Macaca mulatta: one gene and its partners. The protein of the gene in region 1 interacts with the protein of each later gene in a pairwise test. Links are inferred from orthologs where the notes say so. Each region holds a gene or a part of one and is shown on either strand. Other genes may lie near its edges. The genes, in order: CCDC57, PRAM1 and TSGA10IP.

Region 1 (6,995 bases):
GTCACAGTTCACTGTTGTCCGCCCCTCCCTAAGTTCACTGTGAAATGGAAGTTACTTTGGTTTCGAAAAGGAACATGCTGTTCTTTCTGAGTGCACTCAGCACAAGAGGAATCCAGAAGTGATGTACAGACAACAAACCCTGTCCCCATCCCATTCCCAGGGCGGCCGCCGCACCATACCCTCCCTCCTGCCCCTGAGGCCCGGAAGCCAGGCGAGGAGCCCAGGAGGCCTTTGGATCGCAGCCCACCTTTGGGACAGGTGCAGCCCCATTTTACAGCTCAGGTAACACTCTTTCATCTAAGACATGCATTTTAAAAAATATTTCCCTAATTGTGTTGTGTTTTCATTACAGAAACTTCAAATTACGATAAACACAATATAAAAGGCCTCCAATTTTCAGCATCCAGACATAGTTACCAGTAACATTTCAGTGTGTTTTCTGCTGGGCTTTGTTTTGGGGGGTTGGTTTGTTTGTTTGTTTTTTGAGTCGGAGTCTTGCTCTGTTGCCCAGGCTGGAGTGCAATGGTGCAATCTCGGCTCACTGCAATCTCCCCCTCCCGGGGTCCAGCAATTCTCCTGCCTCAGCCTCCCGAGTAGCTGGGATTACAGGCGCATGCTACCATGCATGGCTAATTTTTGTATTTTTAGTAGAGATGGGGTTTTACCATGTTGGCCAGGCTGGTTTCAAACCCCTGACCTCAGGTGATCTACCTGCCTCTGCCTCCCAAAGTGCTGGGATTACAGGTGTAAGCCACGGCACCCAACCCCCGTTTTTTTTATTTTTTAATTATAAATTGTATCATGTATATGTTTTACTATAACTTTACATATCTGGGTACTATTTTTTAAATCTTTACCAGTATGATAAGTGAAAAAAAAACCCAAAAACTTCTATCTTTTTTTTTTTTTTTGAGACAGGATGTGGCTCTGTCACCCAGGCTAGAGTGCTGTGCTGCCATCACAGCTCACTGCAGCCTCGACTTCCTAGGCTCAAATGATCCTCCCACCTCAGCCTCCCAAGTAGCTGGGACCACAGGTGTGCGCCACTATCCCTAATGGCTAATTTTTTTTTTTTTTTTGGTAGAAATGGAGTTTTGCCATGTTACCCAAGCTGGTCTTGAACTCCTGGGCTCAAGCAATCTGCCCACCACGGCCTCTCAAAGTACTGGGATTATGGGCATGAGTCAGTGCACCCAGCCACAACTCGTATCTTTTAAAAGATAGCAAGATGGCTGGGTGGGGTGGCTCATGCCCATAATCCCAGCACTTTGGGAGGCAGAGGTGGGTGGATCATGAGGTCAAGAGTTTGAGACCAGCCTGACCAACATGGTGAAACCCCATTTCTACTAAAAATACAAAAATTAGCCGGGCGTGGTGGCGGGCGCCTGTAATCCCAGCTACTCAGGAAGCTGAGGCAGGAGAATCGCTTGAACCCGGGAGGGAGAGGCTGCAATGAGCCGAGATCGTACCACTGCACTCCAGCCTGGATGACAGGGCAAGACTCCGTCTCAAAAAAAACACAAAACAGCAAGACTGTCTCTACAGAAAAATAAAAATAAAAATAAATTACCCATGTGTGGTGGCGCACACCTCGTAACCCCAGACTCAGAAGGCTGAGGTGAGAGGACTAGCTGAGCCCAGGAGATCAAGACCAGCCGGAGCAACACAGTGAGACGCTGTCTCTACCAAAAAAACAAAGACAGACGTTTCTTATGTCCTTAGTGGCATTAAATGCTTTTAATCTATTTATTGGCCATTTGTAGTTCTTCTTCTGTGGGTGATTTCTGTGTGTTCCTTGCTGGTTTTCCGTAACCTCAGAGCCCAGAATTCCTGCTGCATCTGGCTCTTGTGTTTTTATCCTTTCACCCAGACACTCCCTCCGCCTTTCTGTGTCTTTTTGAAAAATCCGTCAGTGTCTTGTAGACTATGGATCTGTCTGATGCTGCAGCCTTGAGAAGTTCAGCTTCTGCATCGATTTTGGGGTTTTCTACCCAGTTCCAATGAGTTGTCTGTTCCTGAAATGGTGCTATACTGCTTTAAATACTGTGGCTTTGTGACATATTTTAATCTCTCTTAGAGCAAGCTTGACCTTATTTCTTTCTGTTCCTTTACAAAATTTTCTTGGCTGTCCTTTCTTTTTTTTTTTTTTTTTTTTGAACGGAGTCTCGCTCTGTCACCCAAGGCTGGAGTGTAGTGGCACAATTTGGGCTCACTGCAACCTCTGCCTCCCAGATTCAAGCAATTCTCCTGCCTCAGCCTCCCAAGTAGCTGGGATTACAGGCGCCCGCCCCCACGCCCGGCCTTAATTTTTGTATTTTTTATAGAGATAGGTTTTCGCCATGTTGCCTAGGCTGGCCTAGAATTCCTGAACTCAAGTGACCCTCCCGCCTCAGCCTCCCAAAGTGCTGGGATGACAGGCTTGAGCCACCGCGCCCGGCCGAGAAATAACTCTTAAAACTGAGAAAAGAAACCTCTATGGAGCCAAGACCCTTTTTGTTTCCTTTTTTATTTCTTTTTAAAATTTATTTATTTATATTTGAGACAGTGTCTTGCTCTGTCGCCCAGGCTGGAGTGCAGTGGCACAATGTCGGCTCATTGCAATTTCCATCTCCCAGGCTCAAGTGATCTTTCCACCTCAGCCTCCCGAGTAGCTGGGACTACAGGCGCACACCACCACGCCTGGCTTTTTTTTTTTTCTTTTAATAGAGACAGGGTTTCACTGTGTCACTCAGGCTGGTCTCGAACTCCTGTACTGAAGCAATTTGCCCACCTCTGCCTCCCAAATGCTGGGATTACAGGCATGAGCTACCAGGCCCGGCCTGTATTTATTTTATTTATTTATTCATTATGAGATGGAGTCTCACTCTGTCACCCAGGCTGGAGTGCAATGGCACCATCTCAGCTCACTGCAACCTCTGCCTCCCAGGTTCAAGTGATTCTCCTGCCTCAGCCTTCTGAGCAGCTGGGACTACAGGCACACACCACCACACACAGTTAATTTTTGTATTTTTGTAGAGACGAGGTTTTGCCGTATTGACCAAGCTGGTCTCGAACTCCTGACTTCAAGTGATCCACCTGTCTCGGCCTCCCAAAGTGCTGGGATTACAGGCATGAGCTAACACACCCGGCCTAAATTTATTTTTCTTTTAAAAAAATGTGGCCGATGTTTGGGCCCAGTGGCTCACACCTGTAATCCCAGCACTTTGGGAGGCCAAGACAGATGGATCACATGAGGTCAGGAGTTCGAGACCAGCCTGGGCAACATGACAAACCCTCATCTCTACCAAAAATACAAAAAATTAGCCAGGCGTGGTGGCAGGTGCCCGTAATCCCAGCTACTCAGGAAGCTGGGCCAGGAGAATCACTTGAACCCGGGAGGCAGAGGCTGCAGTGAGCCGAGATGGTGCCATTGTACTCCAGCCTGGGCGACAGAGTGAGACTCTGTCTCTCCACCCCCCTACCCCCAGAAAATAAGTGGCCGGGCATGGTGGCTCACATCAGTGATCCCAGCACTTTGGGAGGCTGAGACGGGCAGATCACCTGAGGTCAGGAGTTCAAGACCAGCCTGACCAACATGGTAAAACCCCATCTTTACTAAAAATACAAAAACTAGCCAAACGTGGTGCCGGGCGCCTGTCATCCCAGCTACTTGGGAGGCTGAGGCAGGAGAATCGCTTGAACCCAGGAGGTGGAGGTTGCAGTGAGCTGAGATCGCGCCACTGCACTCTAGTCTGGGTGACAGAGTGAGACTCCATCTCAAAACAAAAAGAAGCAGCAGAATCAGCCAGGCGGTATCACTGGGGGCCACTTGTGCCCATCTTGGGCCAGGGGGCTCTCACCCCAGGCAGGCCATGCACAGGCTGCCCTGGCCTTGCAGAGGAGGCTCCTGGGAATGAATGATTGGGGAAGCCTGCTCCATTCATCCTGTCTGGGAAACAGGTCCCTTCAGTCTAGGCTGTCACCAAATGATGTGAGTCTTTAATACCAGAAATGTGGGGAGGCATTCCTTCCCAATCTTGTGGGAAGACTCACGGACACACACCATCAGTGAATGTGAATACCAGAGTCCTCTCGTGTAAATCCCCACGGCAGGACGCCAAGAGTGCCGAGGAGGAGTGTCCTTTGGGACCCTTGGGAAAGCACCGGCCCCGCCCAGCACAGGTGGGCAGCAGATTTGATGCCCTGCGAGGCCCGAAGGTGAGAGTGGCAGTGCCTGTGCCGGTGCGGCTGCGTGGGGTGTGGCCGGCAGGGAAGCTAGGGTCTGGGCCCTCTGGGCCTCTCGGTGGGGCCTTCGCTCTGCACCTGCCTTTGTGCCATGGCCAGGGGCTGCTCGCAATGGCAGGGTGAGCTGCAGAGCGTTTGCTGGGTGGTCCCACAAGGGCGGTAAAGGTGTTGGGAGGGCCCCAGGACCCCTAAAGCACACGGGGCCCACGCTGGCCGTTCGTTGCTGTGCCCCTCAGGGTATCTGCCCTGCATTTCAACTCATTCCCCATCGAAACGGGGCAGCCTCTGCCCTAGACGTGTTTTGTCGTTTGTTGAGATGAGCACTGAGATTCAGGCCCTGCTCACACTCGGCGTTCCCAGCGCTGAGACTCACTCCCCAGATGCACCCCTGTCTGCAGCTCCCTCTCCTGGGTGGTCCTGGGAGCATCTGCCTGGGCCTTTGAGCCAGGCCCACTGTCTCCTTACTGCTTCCAGGGGAGTGGCTGGGGGAGTCCTGTGGCTTCCTCTGGGTTGGAGAGGGTGGCTTTCAAGACGATGATGTCTTTTCTAGACACAACGCAGCATCCACACGGTGACCTGTAAATCACCTCGGCAGAAAGAAGGCAGGTCCCCAAAGCCACCCCAGGCTCCCAAGCGCCCTGAGGAGCATGGCCGCCAATCCCACAGCTCCTCCTCCCTTGCCAGTGGCGCCCTCCAGGACACTTGGAGGTTGCTAGACCTGGGATCCAGCCCTTCTGGCCTCACCTCCCAGGGTGACTCAACTCCAGGTAGGAGACTGCCCTCCCCAGGAGCTGCCCACAGCTGGCAGCTGGTGGGGGCCACCCTCTCCGAGGGGCATGTGGAGAGTCAGCACCCTGCATGCCTCCCACACCCTGAAATCCCTGCACTTTGGTTGAGTAATGCACGGAGTCTCCTTACCTCTCATTTGGCACCTGAGTGTTTCCCAGGTTATGGTGCAAAGCCCTGAAGGGCAGAAACCATGCCACCTCCTAGCGCAGCACTGTACACCCGGGTGCGTGCTGACATAGAATGGAACGTCCACGTTCTAGGTGAGACGCGCAGGCGTTGGTACACTTTAGACAGCCCGGCTCCCGGGGAAGAGCCAGGCCAACCCCAGTGATGCTCAGCCTCGGGGGCCAGACAAGCGTCACGCCGCATCCTTGTCCTCATCCTGCTTTGCTGCACAGACATCATCCCCCTGAGACTCTGCTGTGCACCTAAGTCATAGGCCTGGTAAACTCAGCAGGTCACAGTGCCAGCTCCTGCGAATGGTCTCAGGATGTTTTCAGGAAGGTCTATTTGAAGGGTGCACCTTGTGGGGACTGCATGGGTCCATGACGTGGGAAGAAGGGTGGAGAGAGACGGATGCTGCTTCGAAGCAGCTAGAGTGGTGGGACGTGCGATGTGTTGGGGCGGGAGCACGCGTCCGTCCTGTGTGCCTGCGTGGAGGGCGTCCCCTTCTTACCTTGCAGCTTCTGTCTTCCATCATGAGGACGTGCCGCATTCATTTAAGCATTCTCTCCTTCATGCGCATTGTAGGCTGTTTCCAGTCCTTTGCCATCACAGATACTGTTAGAATAGAAACCTTACAGGCTGCAGTGTGTGAAAATACACGTGTAAGTGCCCCGGCTTGCTTAGTCGAGGCTGCCTGCACACCACGTGTGGTGGACACCATCGCCTCAGCCTCCGCTGCCCACCCGGAGGCTGCCCCCAGCAGCAGCGTCTGAGAGTCGTGGAGCCACACGGAGCTTTTGCCGGTGGCAGGCAGGGTTGGAATCAGCGCCTCTGTTAGGAGGTCGTGCCTCTTCGTGTGTGTTTAGGAGTTACTTCCTTTTCCTGTTCTTCAGTTCTCTGCTCCTCTGTATATTAGATTGTCGTCTGTCTTACTGATTTGTAGCAGCTCGTTATATGTGAGAGAAATTCGGCCTTTTTGGTGATAGCAGTGCAAATGTTTTCTCCCAGTTCTTCATATTTTTAAATGTTTCGTGTGGTGTTTTTTTATGTTCATATTTTTTATTTTTGTGTAATTTAATGTCCTTGTTTTTTATCTTTTCTGGTTTTTTTTTTTTTTTTTTTTTCCTTTGAGACAGAGTTTTGCTCTTGTTGCCCAGGCTGGAGTGCAATGGTGTGATCTCAGCTCACTGCAACCTCCGCCTCCCGGGTTCAAGTGATTCTCCTGCCTCAGCCTCCCGAGTAGTGGCACCCGCCACCGCTCCAGGCTAATTTTGTATTTTTAGTAGAGATGGGGTTTCACCATGTTGGCCTGGCTGGTCTCAAACTCCTGACCTTGTGATCTGCCCGCCTCGGACTCCCAGAGTGCTGGGATTACAGGAGTGAGCCACCGCTCCCGGCCAGAATCCCTTCTTATTAACCCCCAATGGCAATGGCTCCCAGTTTTCCATTGCTCATGCTTCCTGCGTATTTGGACTCCCGCCTTTGTTATGATGCTAAATGTTCCATGTGCGTTTGGGGCTGTATCCGGACGGTTCGTTCAGCCGCAGTCAGTCTGTTCACAGGCAGTTCCATCGGGTCGGAATCAGTGTCACTTCCTGGTCCTTTTACCTGTCTGGCTGATCTAGGATCTCCTCTTTACCCTTCTCTCTCAGAATTTTCTTGGTTATTTGCATGTATTTGTTTTTTCTTTTTTCTTTCTTTTTAAATTTAGTAGAGAGAGGGCTGGAGGCAGTGGCTCACGCCTGTAATCTCAGCACTTTGGGAGGCCGAGGCAGATGGATCAGTTGAGGTCAGGAGTTCAAGACCAGCCTGGCCAA
Region 2 (7,544 bases), on another chromosome or scaffold:
TCTCAAAAAAAAAAAAAAAAACAAAAAAACGCCAAAAAATAGCCAGGCATTGCTGGGCACGGTGGCTCATGCCTCATGCTTGTAATCCTAGCACTGTGGGAGGCCAAGGCGGGTGGATCACTTGAGGTCAGGAGTTTGAGACTAACCTGGCCAACATGGCAAAATCCCATCTTTACTAAAAATATGAAAATTAGCCGTGCATGGTGGTGGGCACCTGTAATCCCAGCTACCCGAGAGCCTGAGGCAGGAGAATGGCTTGAACCCAGTGAGACGGAGGTTGTAGTGAGCCAAGATCAAGCCCCTGCACTCCAGCCTGGGTGACAGAGCGAAACTCTGTCTAAAAAAAAAAAAAATAGCCAGCCGTGGTGGCTACCTGGGAGGCTGAGGCAGGAGGATCACTTGAGCACAGCAGTTCAAGGCTGTGGTGAGCCATCATCACACCATTGCAACCCTGACCTGGGAGACCAAAAAAAACAATCCCGGGAGCTCCGGGGACGGGCTGGTCCTGAGAAAGTGCAGGGACTGGCCAGGATGGCCTGAAGACCCCAGACCCCGAACCCCACACTGACTCAAGGGGAAGAATTCTTTAGAATTGGGGAGGCCGGCTGGGGGCTCAGGTCTTCATCCTCCTCGCTGTCTGCCAGACCGGTTTCCACCGTGTCCGAGCTCTGAGGAGCAGGGTGGGTCAAGGCCAGCCCTCCGTGGCCTGGACTTTCTCTTCACCCCCGAAGCCAGTGTCCCTCCTGGGTATGGAAGTCCCAGGTGATGTCCACAACCACCCCTTGGAGGCTGGTTTTACCTCCATGATTCCTCTCCCTTCTATCCTCATCTCGCCAGCCCCAGGGTCCCCTAGCCCACCCCCTACTCTCCCCAACCTGCCCTTCCCCCAAGACTGACAATGGTCTCCTCTTTTTCCTTTTTTTTTTTGGGGGGGGGAGACAGAGTCTTGCTCTGTCACTGAAGTGCAGTGGCACGCTCTCGGCTCTCACTGCAACCTCCGCCTTCTGGATTCAAACGATTCTCCTGACTCAGACTCCAAGTAACTGGGATTACGGGCGCCTGCCATCACCCCTGCCTAACTTTTTGTGTTTTTAGTAGCGACGAGGTTTCAACATGTTGGCCAGGCTGGTCTCGAACTCCTGACCTCAGGTGATCCACCCACCTTGGTCTCCCGAAGTACTGGGATTACAAGTGTGAGCCACCACACCCTGCCAGGGTCTCTTCTGATTGTTCCCCTCTCCTGCCCAGCACCCTTCAGTGGCTTCCCACAGCCCTGTCGATGAAGATCCTGTTCTCCCAGTAGCCCAGGGACCTCCTTCACCCCAGTCCACCTGTCTCAATCTTTACCTCCTCCTCTTTCTCCATTCTCTAAATCCACTTCGGGGTCCCCCTCACCTCCTCATCCTGGCATCTGCAGCCAAGACACCAGTGACCCCTGGACGGGGCCCCCGGACCCCACTCCTCCGTCACTGCCCTCCTACCTACTTCTTGCCCCCCAACACCTTCCTTGTCGTCTTCCTCAGATTGTTTTTTTTTTTTTTTTTTTGAGACCGAGTCTCGCACTGTAGCCCAGGCTGGAGTGCAGTGACGCCATCTCGACTCACTGCAACCTCCACCTCCCAGGTTCACGCCATTCTCCTGCCTCACCCTCCCGAGTAGCTGAGATTACAGGTGCCATCCACCATGCCTGGCTAATTTTTTTGTATTTTCAGTAGAGATGGGGTTTCAGCATGTTGGCCAGGCTGGTCTCGAACTCATGACCTCAGCTGATCCACCTGCCTTGGCCTCCCAAAGTGCTGGGATTACAGGCGTGAGTCACCACACCTATCTTCCTTGGACTTTTCATCCACCACCGTGTCCACCTCAGGCTCTGAGTCAAAGCCATCCAGGTAAACAAGCCAAGGGCCACCTGCCCCACACCTGCTCAGTGCCATGTCACCTCAAAGATGGACAGCTCTGGGCTCCGGAAGCCCTTCAGCCACTGCAAGGGGCAGGAGGGGATCCTCAGGCCCTTAGGACCCGTCTGTGTGCCCCACTGCCCACAGCCTCACCAGGGGCCTGAAGACTGCCCTGTCCTTGATGGGGCTGTGATGTGATGGGGCTGCAGCCTCAGCTCACGTGGCTTGGGCTGGGTGTCCACTCTCCCAGCACCCCTAGGCCCCAGCTGAGGTCGCTGTCACTCAGGATGGGGTTGGACAGGCCATCAGGAGGCCCCGGGGCTCCAAGGCCCCCTAAGCTCCCCCTTCTCGGCCAGAAGCCTTGAAACCACCACTGTGGGACCCTGGAAAAGACTCGACCTCCCCGCCTCCCAATTCCCTCGTCCTTAAAAGGGTGTCATGATGACGGGTGAGCCCTTTGGGGTGGATGGGAGGATGAAAAGAGAGGCTGCGGGGAGAGGAGGGACTTGGGAAATGTCTGCCGAGAACTTCACATCCCGAGCCCATGGCTGCCTGGGGAGGAGGGTGGGACAGGTGAAGGGGCCCGTTTTACAGATACATAGAGAAGGTGAGGCTAGGAGGCCTCTAGCGAGCGCCAGTTCCAAGTCAGGGCCACTGATTCTGCACCATCTTGGGAGCTGCGCACAGTTACCACGGGATGAGGAAACCCTGGCAGCAGGTCCAGAGGACACGCCCCTGTTCCCGCACTCTGGAGGTCTCTAGATCTGGCTGTAGTCCAAGCCTATCCCCCATCTCCAGGAATAGCGCTGTGTTCTCTGTCCCCCAGGCCCCTAACCCCTCTCCAGGGTCCCGGAGGCCAGCAGGAGTCTTCGTCCCCATCAGTTTCCTCATTCGGCCACCCCCAGATCTAGCCCACGCTACTTCCCAGTCTGTCACTATCTTTCCAGAGAGACCCAGAGCCGACACCTCCGTCCAGGGACCTCTCCCTTACCCCGTCGCCCACGGAGATGGGACAGCCCTTCCTGTGTGTACAGTGGGCCCACGGTCATCACACTGCCCTCTGGAGTGAACTGACTGCCCCGAGGCCTGGGGAGCTGGATCACCACCTGGCTTCCGCCGTTCACCCTGTCCACTACAAAAACGACCTCCTACCCTCAAACCGGCTCCCAACCCCCATGCACAGGAACCCAGTCCTCTTGGGCCCCGGCTCCGCCCAGCAGGGGGCGCCCAGGAGTCTCAGACTCGGGGGAATGAAAGCCGGGAGCGCAGTGCAGATAGCAGGCAGGTTGGCTGGAAGCCGCGGGCTCGTGCTGAACAGCTCTGAGGCCGGCCAGAGGCCCGTGCACCGCCCGGCATTTGTCCAGCCCCAGCTGTCATCTGCAGGTGCCGGTCCGGTTACCCTCACCGCGGGCCGGGAGCAGGGAGGAGGAAAGCGCCCCGCGGCCCTGGAATCCGCCGCGCACGTGCTCCCCGGGCTCCTCCCCCTGCGCACACTTGTTCCGGTTTCCGACCGCAGAGTCCCGGAGCCGCGCCCTAACGAACTCTCACTGCCCCTGGTCCGGGCTTGCTTCTCTGGGATTCCAGAGCCCTATCGGTCCCTATCTGCGGCCGTGCAGCGCGGAACCCTGCCGGGAGCCCCTACGGAGGCGCCAAATACACAAAGGGGAGTTGGTGGGGAGGCGCACCATGACGACCGCGCCGGGACCTGCGCGTCACCCCCACGGCGCCCCCGTGGTGCCTTGGTGCGCGCGCCCTGTCTGGACCCTCCTAGCTGCGAGAGTGCACGGGCAGTGTGACCGACCCAGGCACCTGGGAATCCATCAGCTGTCATCCAATCCCTTAATTACCTTGATTGAGCACCTACTGTGGCCAAGAATTGCTTTATTTATTTATTTATATTTATTTATTATTATTTATTTGAGACGGAGTCCCGCCCTGTCACCCAGGCTGGAGTGCAATGGCACAATCTCAGCTCACTGCAACCTCCGCCTCCCCGGGTGCAAGCAGTTCTCCCGCCTCACCCTCGCAGGTAGCTGGGATTACAGGTGTGCACAAACACGCCCAGCTAATTTTTATATTTTTAGTAGAGACAGGGTTTCACCATGTTGGCCAGTCTGCTCTCGAACTCCTGACCTCAGGTGATCCGCCCGCCTGGCCTCCCGAAGTTCTGGGATTACAGGCGTGAGCCACCGGGCCCGGCCACTTGTTCTTTCATTCTTTCCTTCACTTACCCAGGTTCTGGAGACCCACGGAGGGCCCATACTGTCCTCCCGAGACTCCCGTTTGGGAGGGCAACCCACATCTGGCAACTGTGACCCTGGACCGGATGCAAAGGCACAACAGAGATGGCAAGATGGCAGAATCATGATGTCTGTGCTCTTAAAGGAGGTGTGAAAACAAACAGGCAGGCCAGGCGCGGTGACTCACGCCTGTAATCCCAGCACTTTGGGAGGTCCAGGCGGGTAGATCACTTGAGGTCCGGAGTTTGAGACCAGCCTGGTCAATGGTGAAACCCCATCTCTACTAAAAATCCAGAAAATTAGCCAGGCATGTTGGTGGACACCTGTAATCCCAGCCACTTGAACCCGGGAGGCAGACTGGGTGACAGAGCAGGACTTTGTCTCAAAAACAATTAAAAAATTTAAAAAAACTTGCTCAGGCCACACCTCAGACTGATTAAGTCAGAGTTTCTTGGAGGTTCTGTTTTTTGGGGTTTTTTTTAGATGGAGTTTCGCTCTGTCACCTAGACTGGAGTGCAGTGGCGCCATCTCGGCTCACTGCAACCTCTGCCTCCCCGGTTCAAGCAATTCTCCTGCCGCAGTCTCCCGAGTAGCCAGGATTATAGGCATGTGCCACCATGCTGAGCTAATTTTTGTATTTTTAGTAGAGACATGGTTTCTCTATGTTGTCCAGACTGGTCTTAAACTCCCGACCTCAGGTGATCCGCCTGCCTCAACCTCCCAAAGTGCTCATATTACAGGCATGAGCTACCTCGCTCAGCCTTTTTTTTTTTTTTTTTACTGTGGCTCTTGATTGATTGATTGAGATTGGGTCTTGCTCTGTCATCCAGGCTGGAGTGCAGCGGTGTGATCATAGCTCACTGCAGCCTCTGCTTCCTGGGCTCAAACAATCCTCCCACCCCAGCCTCCCAAGCAGCTGAGACCACAGGCGCGTACCATCACACCTGGCTAATATTTTCTTTTTTTTTTTGAGACAGAGTCTGGCTCTGTCGCCCAGGCTGGAGTGCAGTAGCGCGATCTCTGCTCACTGTAAGCTCCGCCTCCTGGGTTCACGCCATTCTCCTGACTCAGCCTCCCAAGTAGCTGGGACTACAGGCGTCTGCCACCACACCCAGCTAATTTTTTGTATTTTTAGTAGAGATGGAGTTTCACCGTGTTAGCCAGGATAGTCTTGATCTCCTAACTTCGTGATCCACCCACTTTGGCCTCCCAAAGTGCTGGGATTACAGGCGTGAGCCACCGCGCCCGGTCACACCTGACTAATTTTTTATGTTTTTTGTATAGATGGAGTCTTGCTATGTTGCTCAAGCTGGTCTTGAACTCCTGGGCTGAAGGGATCATCCTGCCTCAGCCTCCCAAAGTGTTAGGATTACAGACATGAGCCACCATGCCCGGCCCAGGTGCAAGGCCTTTGACACTACTCACCCCCCAACCCCCAAATCTGCCATACCAGCTGAGCTTTCTGCACAGGGTGGCAGCCCTGGGAGGAATGAAATGAGGAAGGCGGATGAGCCAACCGGGGCAGATAGTAGAGGCCTCACCCGGTCACATGGGCCCCCACGTCCTGGGTCTCTGGGCCTCCCCAGGAGCCTCCTAAACCCCAGAGCTGTCCGTACCCCTGACCTGCTGAGATCTCCCCATCCTGTGGCTCTCCAGCCCAGGAGATCACCAGCGCCTGGCATGGAGTCCTCCCTGGAGTCCAGAGATGGGGACACCAAAGTGGTGGGAATGACGGGGACTACAGAGAGTAAGAAACTAGTTAGTTGGTCAGGTGGATCACGCCTGTAATCCCAGCACTTTGGGAGGCCAAGGCGGGCAGATCACTTGAGGTTGGGAGTTCAAGACTAGCCTGACCAACATGGTGAACCCTCATCTCTACTAAAAATACAAAAAATTAGCCAGGCATGGTGGTGCTTGCCTGTAATTCCAGCTACTCAAGAGACTGAGGCAGGAGAATTGCTTGAACCTGTGAGGCGGAGGTTGCAGTGAGCCAAGATTACACCACTGCACTCCAGTCTGAGCAACAGAGTGAGACTCTGTCTCAAATAAAAAAAAAAAAAAGAAACTAGTGACCATGTTAGGAACATGCAGGCAACCAATGCCCCAAGCTTGGGACAGTAGCAGGCAGGCCAGGAATTCAAGGGAAATAGAAGTGCCCAGGAGGGGCCAGGCGCAGTGGCTCACGCCTGTAATCCCAGCACTTTGGGAGGCCGAGGCGGACTGATCCCTTGAGGTCAGGAGTTTGAGACCAGCCTGCCCAACACAGTGAAACCTCTTCTCTACTAAAGATACAAAACGTAGCCAGGAGTGGTGGTGCGTGCCTATCATCGCAGCTACACAGGAGGTTGATACAAGAGAATTGCCTGAACCCGGGAGGCAGAGGTTGCAGTGAGCCGAGATGGCACCATGGCACTCCAGCCTGGGCGACAGAGCGAGACTCAGTCTCAAAAAAAAAGAAGTGGCTGGCAGGATCTGGAGACAGATTGGAGCCTCCCCACCTCCTTCCCTTCCTCCTCTGCCCTCCCCCGCCCCACCTCCAGCAGCCCCCACCCTGTGTGCTGGCCGTGGAGCAGAAGCCACAGTCACTTCCTGAAGGCAGCGGCCCCAGCTCGGGTCCCACTCATCCCGTGGCCCATCACCTGCCTGCAGCCATGGTGAGTACGGGGAGAGGCCTGTGCCTCGATAGCCGGGAAGCAAGGGACACAGGTGTTCCCTGGAGGATAGGATCCACCTGTGGAGGGGCAGGGGGGACTGCGAAAGACATCTGGGAAACGGGAAGGGTCGGCAAAAAGGACCCGAGGTAGGAGGCCGCCAGGCACACCCCAGGACAGCACAGGCTCCTGGGGGTTCAGGCTCAGATTGGGACTGCGAGGGGGACAGATGGGACTACCCGGGGGGACGTCTCCCGTCTCCCTAGGTCAACATGAGCAGCAATGTGGGAACGGGCAGCTGGGGTGAGAGCAGTGCTTTCCTGTGGGGTGACAAAGTGGGTCATGGCCCTCCCCCGACCAGTCACCCAAGTTGTGACCTGCTAACCCTGACTTATCTAGCCTTGTGGTCACCCGGGAGCACTTCCTTCAAACCACTGGGGGCTTCGGCAGGGGCACTTCAGGCCCCCGCTGGGAATCGCTGCCTTTTCAAGGAGCACTCCTGGTCTCTGGTCCTCTGGATGGGGAAAGTGAGGTACACACAGGAGGTAAAGGCCACACGCTTCTGCCCTTGCCCTCCCCCAGTCTCCTCGACCACAGGTGAAGGGGGCGTTTGTAGGGCCAAGGAGGCCTGGCCTGCTTGTGAATCTGCCTACATCTGTGGGCAGTGGTTGCAGGGCCAGCTAGGAGGGCAGCCGGGACAGCTGGGCGTGCAGGAGACGGCACATGTGCCAACGGTGTCCGCACCGGTCCTCTCA
Region 3 (7,767 bases), on another chromosome or scaffold:
CCCAGCACTTTGGGAGGCTGAGGCAGGTGGATGGCTTGAGGCCAGGAGTTTGAGACCAGCCTGGGAAATATAGTGAGATCCCATGTCAATAAACAATAAATAAATAAATAAGCAAAAGCCAGAGATTAAGTGTTACTGAAATGATCCAGAGGAGAGAGGGTATTGGTTTGGAGAAGCGCTGGATTCTGCATGTATTTCAAACTGGTAAGGTTTGCTAAGGAACTGGTAAGGTTTGCTAAGGAACTGGTAAGGTTTGCTAAGGAACTGGTAAGGTTTGCTAAGGCATTAGGGGCAGAATGTGAGTCAAATGAAGAAGTCAAGGATGATACCAGCCAGTTGACCTGAGCAACGGGAATCTCAGACATGCCCCTGACTGGGATGAGGCAGGCCAGGAGTCTGACCTTCAACATGTCAAGTTGAAATGCTTATTTATCCAAGTGGGGATATCTGATGGGCCACTGGATATTTAAGTCTGGGAGAGGTCAGGCTGAGATATGCAAACTTGGGGACGGGTGGAAAACAGTAGATGCTGTTCTGGCGCAGTGGTTCATGCCTGTAATCCCAATGCTTTGGGAGGCTGAGGTGGGCCAGGAGTTCAAGACCAGCCTGGACAACATGGCAAAACCCCATCTCTACAAAAAAATACAAAAATTAGCCGGGCATGGTGGCGCGTAACTGTAGTCCCAGCTACTCGGGTGGCTGAGGCAGGAGGATCATTTGAGCCCAGGAGTTTGAGGCTGCAGCGAGCTGTAATGGCACCACTGCACTCCAGCCGGTGTGACAGAGTGAGACTCTGTCTCAGAAAGCAAGCAGCAGGTGGCTTTTAAGGCTGTCAGACTGGACGAGCTCACTTAGGGAGGGAGTGTGGTTGAGGAAAGAGGTCTGTATGCACCTCCTGAGAATATCAACCTGAGAAACCCTTGCCCTCTGCCAAGGAAGAAAGTGGCCCAGAATTCTGGACTGCCCAGGAAATTAGCTGGGTTGAGGTCTGGAAGGGGCTCCGTTTCTGAAAGTGGAGCCGCCTACATGTGCCTTCCGCTGGGCCCCAGGTGTGGGAGAAGGATGGCAGCCCCCTAGAAAGAACAGAGTTTGCATATTTTGGATGGCAAAACAGCTTTGCCTAGAGCAGCGCTATTTAGGATATTTACATTGGATGCGCTCATTGTGAGGCGCTACTGGGATGGAGTCTGAGAGCAGAAGAGGGGCCACAGGGCCACGGTCTGAGAAAAATCCTGCCTCTACGGCATCTTCCAGGATAACCTGCTTCCCTGGGGCCACATCATTGATTAATTAAAAACAGCAACACGGCCCGGGGCAGTGGCTCACGCCTGTTATCCCAGCACTTTGGGAGGCCAAGGCGGGTGGATCACTTGAGGTCAGGAGTTCAAGACCAGCCTGGCCAACATGGTGAAACCCTCTCTCTACCAAGAATACAAAAAATTAGCCGGGCATGGTGGCATATTCCTGTAATCCTAGTTACCCGGGAGGCTGAGGTGGGAGAATTGCTTGAACCCAGGAGGCGGAGGTTGCAGTGAGCTGAGATCACGTCACTGCACTCCAGCCTGGGCAACAGAGCAAGACTCCATCGCAAAAAAAAAAAAAGATAATAAGAATAACAGCAACGCTAGCATAGCAGTTCCCATGAGCCATGAGGATGTTCTGTTTGTATCTGCATAGTGATTTAATCCCTACCACTACCCTGGGAGTAGATATGATTATAACCAGCCCCCGATTGCCTATGCGAAAACAGGCACCAAGAGGGTACAGGACAAGTGGAGGAGCTGGAATTTGCACCCAAGTGCTTCCTCTGTGCTCTTAGCCATGATGCTCTGCTGCCTCAAAAGAATGGTCAGCTAGTGTTAGTAATAATAATAACATTTACCGATTTCATCGTTTGGGGTTTCATGTAGTCCTTGCAACAAACCTATGAGCTGGGCCCGTGATTCCAGTTTTGCAGAGTGAGGAGTTGGTCACAGAGCTAGTGAGAGGCCACACCAGGCCTCCAGCCCAGCTGGTCCGTCTCTAGGGCCTCAGTTCAGTACCATATCCCTGTACTGCAGGCCTCAGTGGTCAGCACCAGGCGTCCCATGGGGACTTAAGATTCCAAGGCTTTTGAGCACTGCTTAGAAGTTTGGGGTAAGATCTTTTAATTTTTTTTTTTTTTTTTTTTTTGAGACGGAGTCTCACGCTGTTGCCCAGGCTGGAGTGCAGTGGCGCGATCTTGGCTCACTGCAAGCTCCGCCTCCTGGGTTCACGCCATTCTCCTGCCTCAGCCTCCTGAGTAGCTGGGACTACAGGCGCCCGCCACCGCGCCCGGCTAATTTTTTGTATTTTTAGTAGAGACGGGGTTTCACTGTGGTCTCGATCTCCTGACCCTGTGATCCGCCCGCCTCGGCCTCCCAAAGTGCTGGGATTACAGGCTTGAGCCACCGCGCCCGGCCTTAATTTTTTTATATTAAAAAAATATATATTTTTGAAATGGAGTCTCACTCTTTTGCCCAGGCTGGCGGCTCACTGCAACCTCCGCCTCCCAGGTTCAAGAGATTCTCGTGCTTCAGCCTCCCGAGTAGCTGGGATTACAGATGCCCACTACCACACCCAGCTAATTTTTGTATTTTTAGTGAGATGGAGTTTCAGTCCAGGTGGGAGATGGAGTTTCACCATGTTGACCAGAGTGGTCTCGAACTCCGGACCTCAGGCACTCCACCTACCTCGGCCTCCCAAAGTGCTGGGATTATAGCCACCGCCTGGCCTGGGGTAAGCGTTCAATGTTTTAACTCCCTCCAGAACCTCATGGCCTATGAAGATGGCTAGGTGGGCCTGGGCCCAGGCTCTGAATGGCCTGCTGCCTCTCTCCTGGACACAGCGTTCGACTTCCTGGCTGGGGCTGGGAGTGCAAAGATTTGTTTATTTGTTTATTTTTTCTTGAGGCAGAGTCTCATTCTGTCGCCCTGGCTGGAGTGCAGTGGTGCAATCTGGGCTTGATGCAGCCTCTGCCTCCCGGGATCAAGCGATTCTTGTGCCTCAGCCTCCTGAGTAGCTGGGATTACAGGTATGTGCCACCATGCCTGGCTAATTTTTTTTGCATTTTTGGTAGAGATGGGGTTTTGCCATTTTGGCCAGGCTGGTCTTGAACTCCTGGCCTCGAGTGATCCACCTGCCTCAGCCCCCTAGAGTGCTGGGATTACAGGCATGAGCCACCGCTCCCAACCTGGGAGTGCAAGGATTGAAATAAAATCTTGTGAAAAATCTTGTGAATCAAGTCCCTGAAGGAGCCATATCTCAGTTTGGCTCCTTCAGGGACTTTGCCGGGCCTGGGGGGCAGCACAGGAGACAGACTGACTCCCCTGTACAGATGGATGGGGAAACACAGGTGGAGTGGGGACAGAGGACTTACACCAGGTTACATGGGGAGCCTGTGGATGAGGCAGGAGCAGAGGCAGGACTTGGGCCTGGGTCTCTGCACTGAACGACTCCTGGGCACCCTGCTGAGCTCTCCCTTAGAAGGAGATTGGCCTCACATACCCCACTGACCCCTTCCTAGTATGCTTTTTGCCAGACCCCCTGAGACTGGCTGAGGACTGGTTGCCATAGAGATGGCCTGTTGGGCAGTTCCACGGTGGGGATGGGGGATGGGGCAGGATGGGGCAGGACACCAATATGCTAAATACCTACCAACAGTTGGTTAGGACCCCGTTGGCACGACCAGGGCAGGACATGCGGCTTCAGGCTCCAGGAACCAGCACTGGGCTGCTCAAGCTGCTGTCGACCATCTCTCAGGACAAGCAGGTGAGGTAGGCCCAGTGGGGGCACTTCCAGCTGCCCAGAGCCAGGTGGGCTGCCTTGGGTCAGGGAGGCCTGGGCTGGGGAGGCCCTTGAGAAGCCACGAGACCTGAGCTGAGATCCAGGTGAAAGTCAGGGAGGCAGGAGTGGGACAGGGACCACATGGAGGCCTAAAGGTCTTGGGAGAAGCTGAGGGATGACGCCTGGGGGTGACTCCCCGGGATGATGGGGTGATTCAGGGAACACTGTGGGAGGAGCAGCGTTTCAGGAAAGATTAAGACCACCTGGATGAAAATCACCTTGGTTTCTGCCTTGGCTGTAGCAGGTCCAGGGCCCAGTGGGACATTTGGGAGTGCAGTCCAGGGCCCAGAAGCGGCCTAGTGCAATGGTAACAAATCTGGGCTCCACCACTTCCCAGCTGTGTGACCTCAGTTACTCAGCCTCTCTGAGCCTCAGCTTTCTCCTCCAAGTGATGGGGGTGATAATGAGTACCAGCCTCCTAGGGTCCTTGGGAAGGTGTGTTTATGCATGAAAGTCCTGAACACACAGTAGGTGCTCAGCAGGTGGTGGCTGTTGCTATTTTAATATGCAGAATGGAGGTGGTGTTCGGTCGGGTTTTTTTGTTTTGTTTTGTTTTTTGTTTTTTTGAGACTGAGTTTTGCTCTTTTTGCCCAGGCTGGAATGCAATGACGCAATCTCAGCTCACTGCAGCCTCCACTTCCCAGGTGCAAGCGATTCTCCTGCCTCAGCCTCCCAAGTAGCTGGGATTACAGGTGCAGGCCACCATACCCAGCTAATTTTTTTTTTTTTTTTTTTTTTTTGTATTTTTAGTAGAGACGGGGTTTCACCATGTTGGCCAAGCTGGTCTCAAACTCCTGGCCTCAGGTGATCCGCCCCCCTTGGCCTCCCAAAGTGCTGGGATTACAGGCGTGAGCACCGCACCCTGCCCTGTTTGGTTGGTTTTTACGGTAACGAGGGCCCAGAGGGGCCCAGCCAGGCCCAGCCAGGTGCACAGAAGAGGAGGGCACCCGGGTGAGGTGCAACACAGTCCAGGAGGCTGCTTGAGCTGGCTGCTCCTCCCCTAATGTCTCTGCCCAGGGCCGCCTGGGGAGTGGTGATGGTGTGCCAAATCAGGACCTGCAGTGGAGGTCTCAGAGCTCAAGGCAGACAGCAAAGAAGGACCGCAAGCCCAGGGGCCAGAGCAAGAAAGGACAGGGCTCTGAAGAGGCTGAAGAGTAAGGAGCAGTGGGATGGGTCAGGAGGGTGCTGGGGGTCAGGGCCCTCTGGGGGCTGGTGCCGACCCTGACCCCACCCTGTCCTTTCTCAGTCTCTTCCGCCTTCCTCCTCGGAAGCCCTCCTTCCCCTTCCAGTGGGCCTGGGAGAGCATCGCCACAGATGTCCGGGCTGTGCTTCAGCCAAGTTCCCCAACCCCAGGCCACCAAGCCCTGCCCATGCCCTCCTCATCCTCCCAGCGCCAGTCCAGGCGCAAGTCCACGGCCAACCTCCCAGAGGCCTATGGCTGCTGCCGGAAGACAGAGGTGCAAAACCTGAAGGCGAGACAACAGCTGGGAGCCTGGGGTGGTGTCTCCATCCCTCCTGGCAAAGGGGAGCTAGGACCGGAGACCCCCAGTGAGTGTGGCCTCCAGCCGCCTGGGAGGAGGCCAGGATCAGGATCGGCGTCCGACAAGCAGGTCCAGCTGCTAGGCCCGGGTGCTGAGGAGGCTGAGAGGGGTCTGAGTTCTGGGGAGCCGCCCCAGCGCCCCAGGAGGGGGTCCATCTCAGAGGAGGAGCAATTCTCAGAGGCCACAGAGGAGGCTGAGGAGGGAGAGCACAGGGCTCCCTGCAGAAGGAGGGCTGGTTGTCAGAAAAAGGGGCAGATTTCCGGAGAGGAGGCCTCGGATGAAGGGGAACTGCAGGGCCAGAGCCAGGGGAGCAGGCCTAGCTTCAACAACCTCCAAAGGCCACAGAGGAGGAAGACAAGGGCCAGGGAGCTGCAGGGGCCATGGGACCTGGAGAAGCTGCACAGGCAGCTACAGAGAGACCTGGATTGTGGTGAGCGTGCGACTCGGGGCCCGGGTTCCCCCGAAGCTACACTGTGGGGAATAGGGAGCAGTCAGGGAGGCTGGGCTCAGGCAGGCTGGGCTGTGCTCTGGGTGCTGCGGGGATTGCCCAGCGGCCTGGGAGAGAGAGGCAGCCCCTGACTTGGTCCCACTGTGGGCAGGCCCCCAAAAGCAGCCCTGGAAGGCTTTGAGGGCTGCCTTCCAGGCCTCCAAGCAGAATGGAAAGGCCTATGCCTCGGAAGACGATGAAACTTTCCCGTCTGCCAACCTCCCCAATCGCACCTTCCACAAACGACAGGAAGCCACCAGGTAAGAGGGAAGAGAAGGGAGTGGGAGCCCATGGTGAGAAGTAGAGATGGAGCTGGTTCTCCAAGAGATGCTTAGGCATTTGAACTCTCATTCCTTTATTTATCCATTCACCAAACTTTTGGATCATCCATCCGTCCATCCATCCATCCATCCATTCATCCATCCATCCATCCATCCAACTACTGGTAACATCCACTCAACCATTCACCCATCTCTCTGAATACCTGGCCAATTGTCTACTGATACAGCCACTTTTATTTCCCATCTTTTCTTCTATCCATCCATTAAACTATTAACTAAGTGATTAATCCAACATTTATTATATACTCCTGGGCCCTTAGGATGTAACTATTAAAAGACTTGGAATTAGCTGGACATGGTGACACATGCTTGTAGTCCCAGCTACTCAGCAGGCTGGGGTAGGAGGATCTCTTGAGCTCAGGAGATCAAGACTGCAGTGAGCTATGATCCAGCCACTGCACTCAGCATGGGCAACAGAGTGAAACACTGTCTCTAAAAAATAAGTTAAGGGGCCGGGCGCGATGGCTCACGCCTATAATCCTAGCACTTTGGAAGGCCAAGGCGTGCAGATTGTCTGAGTTCAAGAGTTTGAGACCAGCCTGGGCAACATGGTGAAACCCTGTCTCTACTGAAAATATAAAAAAATTATCCAAGTATGGTGGTGCGTGCTTGGAGTCCCAGCTACTCAGGAGGCTGGGACATGAGAGTCACTTGAACCTGGGAGGTGGAGGTTGCAGTGAGCCGAGATTGCACCACTGCACTCCAGCCTGGGTGACAGAGTGAGACTCTGTCTCAAATGAACAAACAAACAAACAAAAAACCCAGTCTGGTCAACATAGCGAGACCCCTGTGTCTACAAAGGAAAAAAAGATTAGCCTGGCTTGGTGGAAAGCGCCTGTAGCCCCAGCTACTCTAGAGGCTGAGTCAGGAGGATCTCTTGAGCCCAGGAGTTCAAGGCTGCAGTGAGTCATGATCACATCACTGCATTCTAGTCTGAACAACAGAGCAAGATTCTGTTTCTAAAGCAAAGGAGATAGTGGGAGCTGAAGGGGAGACTGGAGGCCGTGAGGAGACTGTTGGCAACACTGAGGTGAGGAACCATAGGCCCTGAACAAGGAGGCCCTGTGGATGGAGGGAGGGGATCCATTTAAGAGACACTTAGGCCGGGCGCGGTGGCTCAAGCCTGTAATCCCAGCACTTTGGGAGGCCGAGACGGGCGGATCACAAGGTCAGGAGATCGAGACCATCCTGGCTAACACGGCGAAACCCCGTCTCTACTAAAAACACAAAAAATTAGCCGGGCGAGGTGGCGGCGCCTGTGATCCCAGCTACTCGGGAGGCTGAGGCAGGAGAATGGCGGGAACCCGGGAGGCGGAGCTTGCAGTGAGCTGAGATCTGGCCACTGCACTCCAGCCTGGGCGACAGAGCGAGACTCCGTCTCAAAAAAAAAAAAAAAAAAGAGACACTTAGAGGCTGGTTCGATAGGCCTTGGTGACTGGTGACAGGTGGCATGTGAGGGCAGGGGAGAGTTCATTCAGCATTTTTTTTTTTTTTTGAGACAGAGTCTTGCTCTGTTGCCCAGGCTGGAGTGCAG

The links.
Region 2: the proteins of CCDC57 (region 1) and PRAM1 interact in binary tests that used the Homo sapiens proteins (3 or more experiments, as listed by UniProt). The two-hybrid records come from large-scale screens. The link is inferred for Macaca mulatta from reciprocal best matches to the Homo sapiens genes CCDC57 and PRAM1.
Region 3: the proteins of CCDC57 (region 1) and TSGA10IP interact in binary tests that used the Homo sapiens proteins (3 or more experiments, as listed by UniProt). The two-hybrid records come from large-scale screens. The link is inferred for Macaca mulatta from reciprocal best matches to the Homo sapiens genes CCDC57 and TSGA10IP.

The regions. Positions count from the first base shown.
Region 1 is NC_133421.1:91,826,964-91,833,958, reverse strand, and holds part of CCDC57 (coiled-coil domain-containing protein 57), read left to right. Parts: intron 1-160; coding exon 161-282; intron 283-352; coding exon of another isoform or gene 353-382; exon of another isoform or gene 383-1,036; intron 1,037-4,092; coding exon 4,093-4,197; intron 4,198-4,774; coding exon 4,775-4,991; coding exon of another isoform or gene 4,992-5,191; exon of another isoform or gene 5,192-5,486; intron 5,487-5,689; exon of another isoform or gene 5,690-5,793; intron 5,794-6,832; exon of another isoform or gene 6,833-6,995. UniProt on the Homo sapiens protein: Pleiotropic regulator of centriole duplication, mitosis, and ciliogenesis. Critical interface between centrosome and microtubule-mediated cellular processes. Centriole duplication protein required for recruitment of CEP63, CEP152, and PLK4 to the centrosome.
Region 2 is NC_133424.1:9,354,855-9,362,398, reverse strand, and holds the start of PRAM1 (PML-RARA-regulated adapter molecule 1), read left to right. Parts: upstream 1-3,694; 5' UTR 3,695-3,855; coding exon 3,856-3,927; intron 3,928-4,133; coding exon 4,134-4,286; intron 4,287-4,900; exon of another isoform or gene 4,901-5,272; intron 5,273-6,404; exon of another isoform or gene 6,405-6,426; coding exon 6,427-6,792; intron 6,793-7,544. Other genes in the region: uncharacterized protein LOC114674096, read left to right, coding at 2,906-3,694. UniProt on the Homo sapiens protein: May be involved in myeloid differentiation. May be involved in integrin signaling in neutrophils. Binds to PtdIns(4)P.
Region 3 is NC_133419.1:8,471,138-8,478,904, reverse strand, and holds the start of TSGA10IP (testis-specific protein 10-interacting protein), read left to right. Parts: upstream 1-3,446; 5' UTR 3,447-3,642; coding exon 3,643-3,789; exon of another isoform or gene 3,790-3,833; intron 3,834-4,881; coding exon 4,882-5,018; intron 5,019-5,110; coding exon 5,111-5,835; intron 5,836-6,004; coding exon 6,005-6,152; intron 6,153-7,767.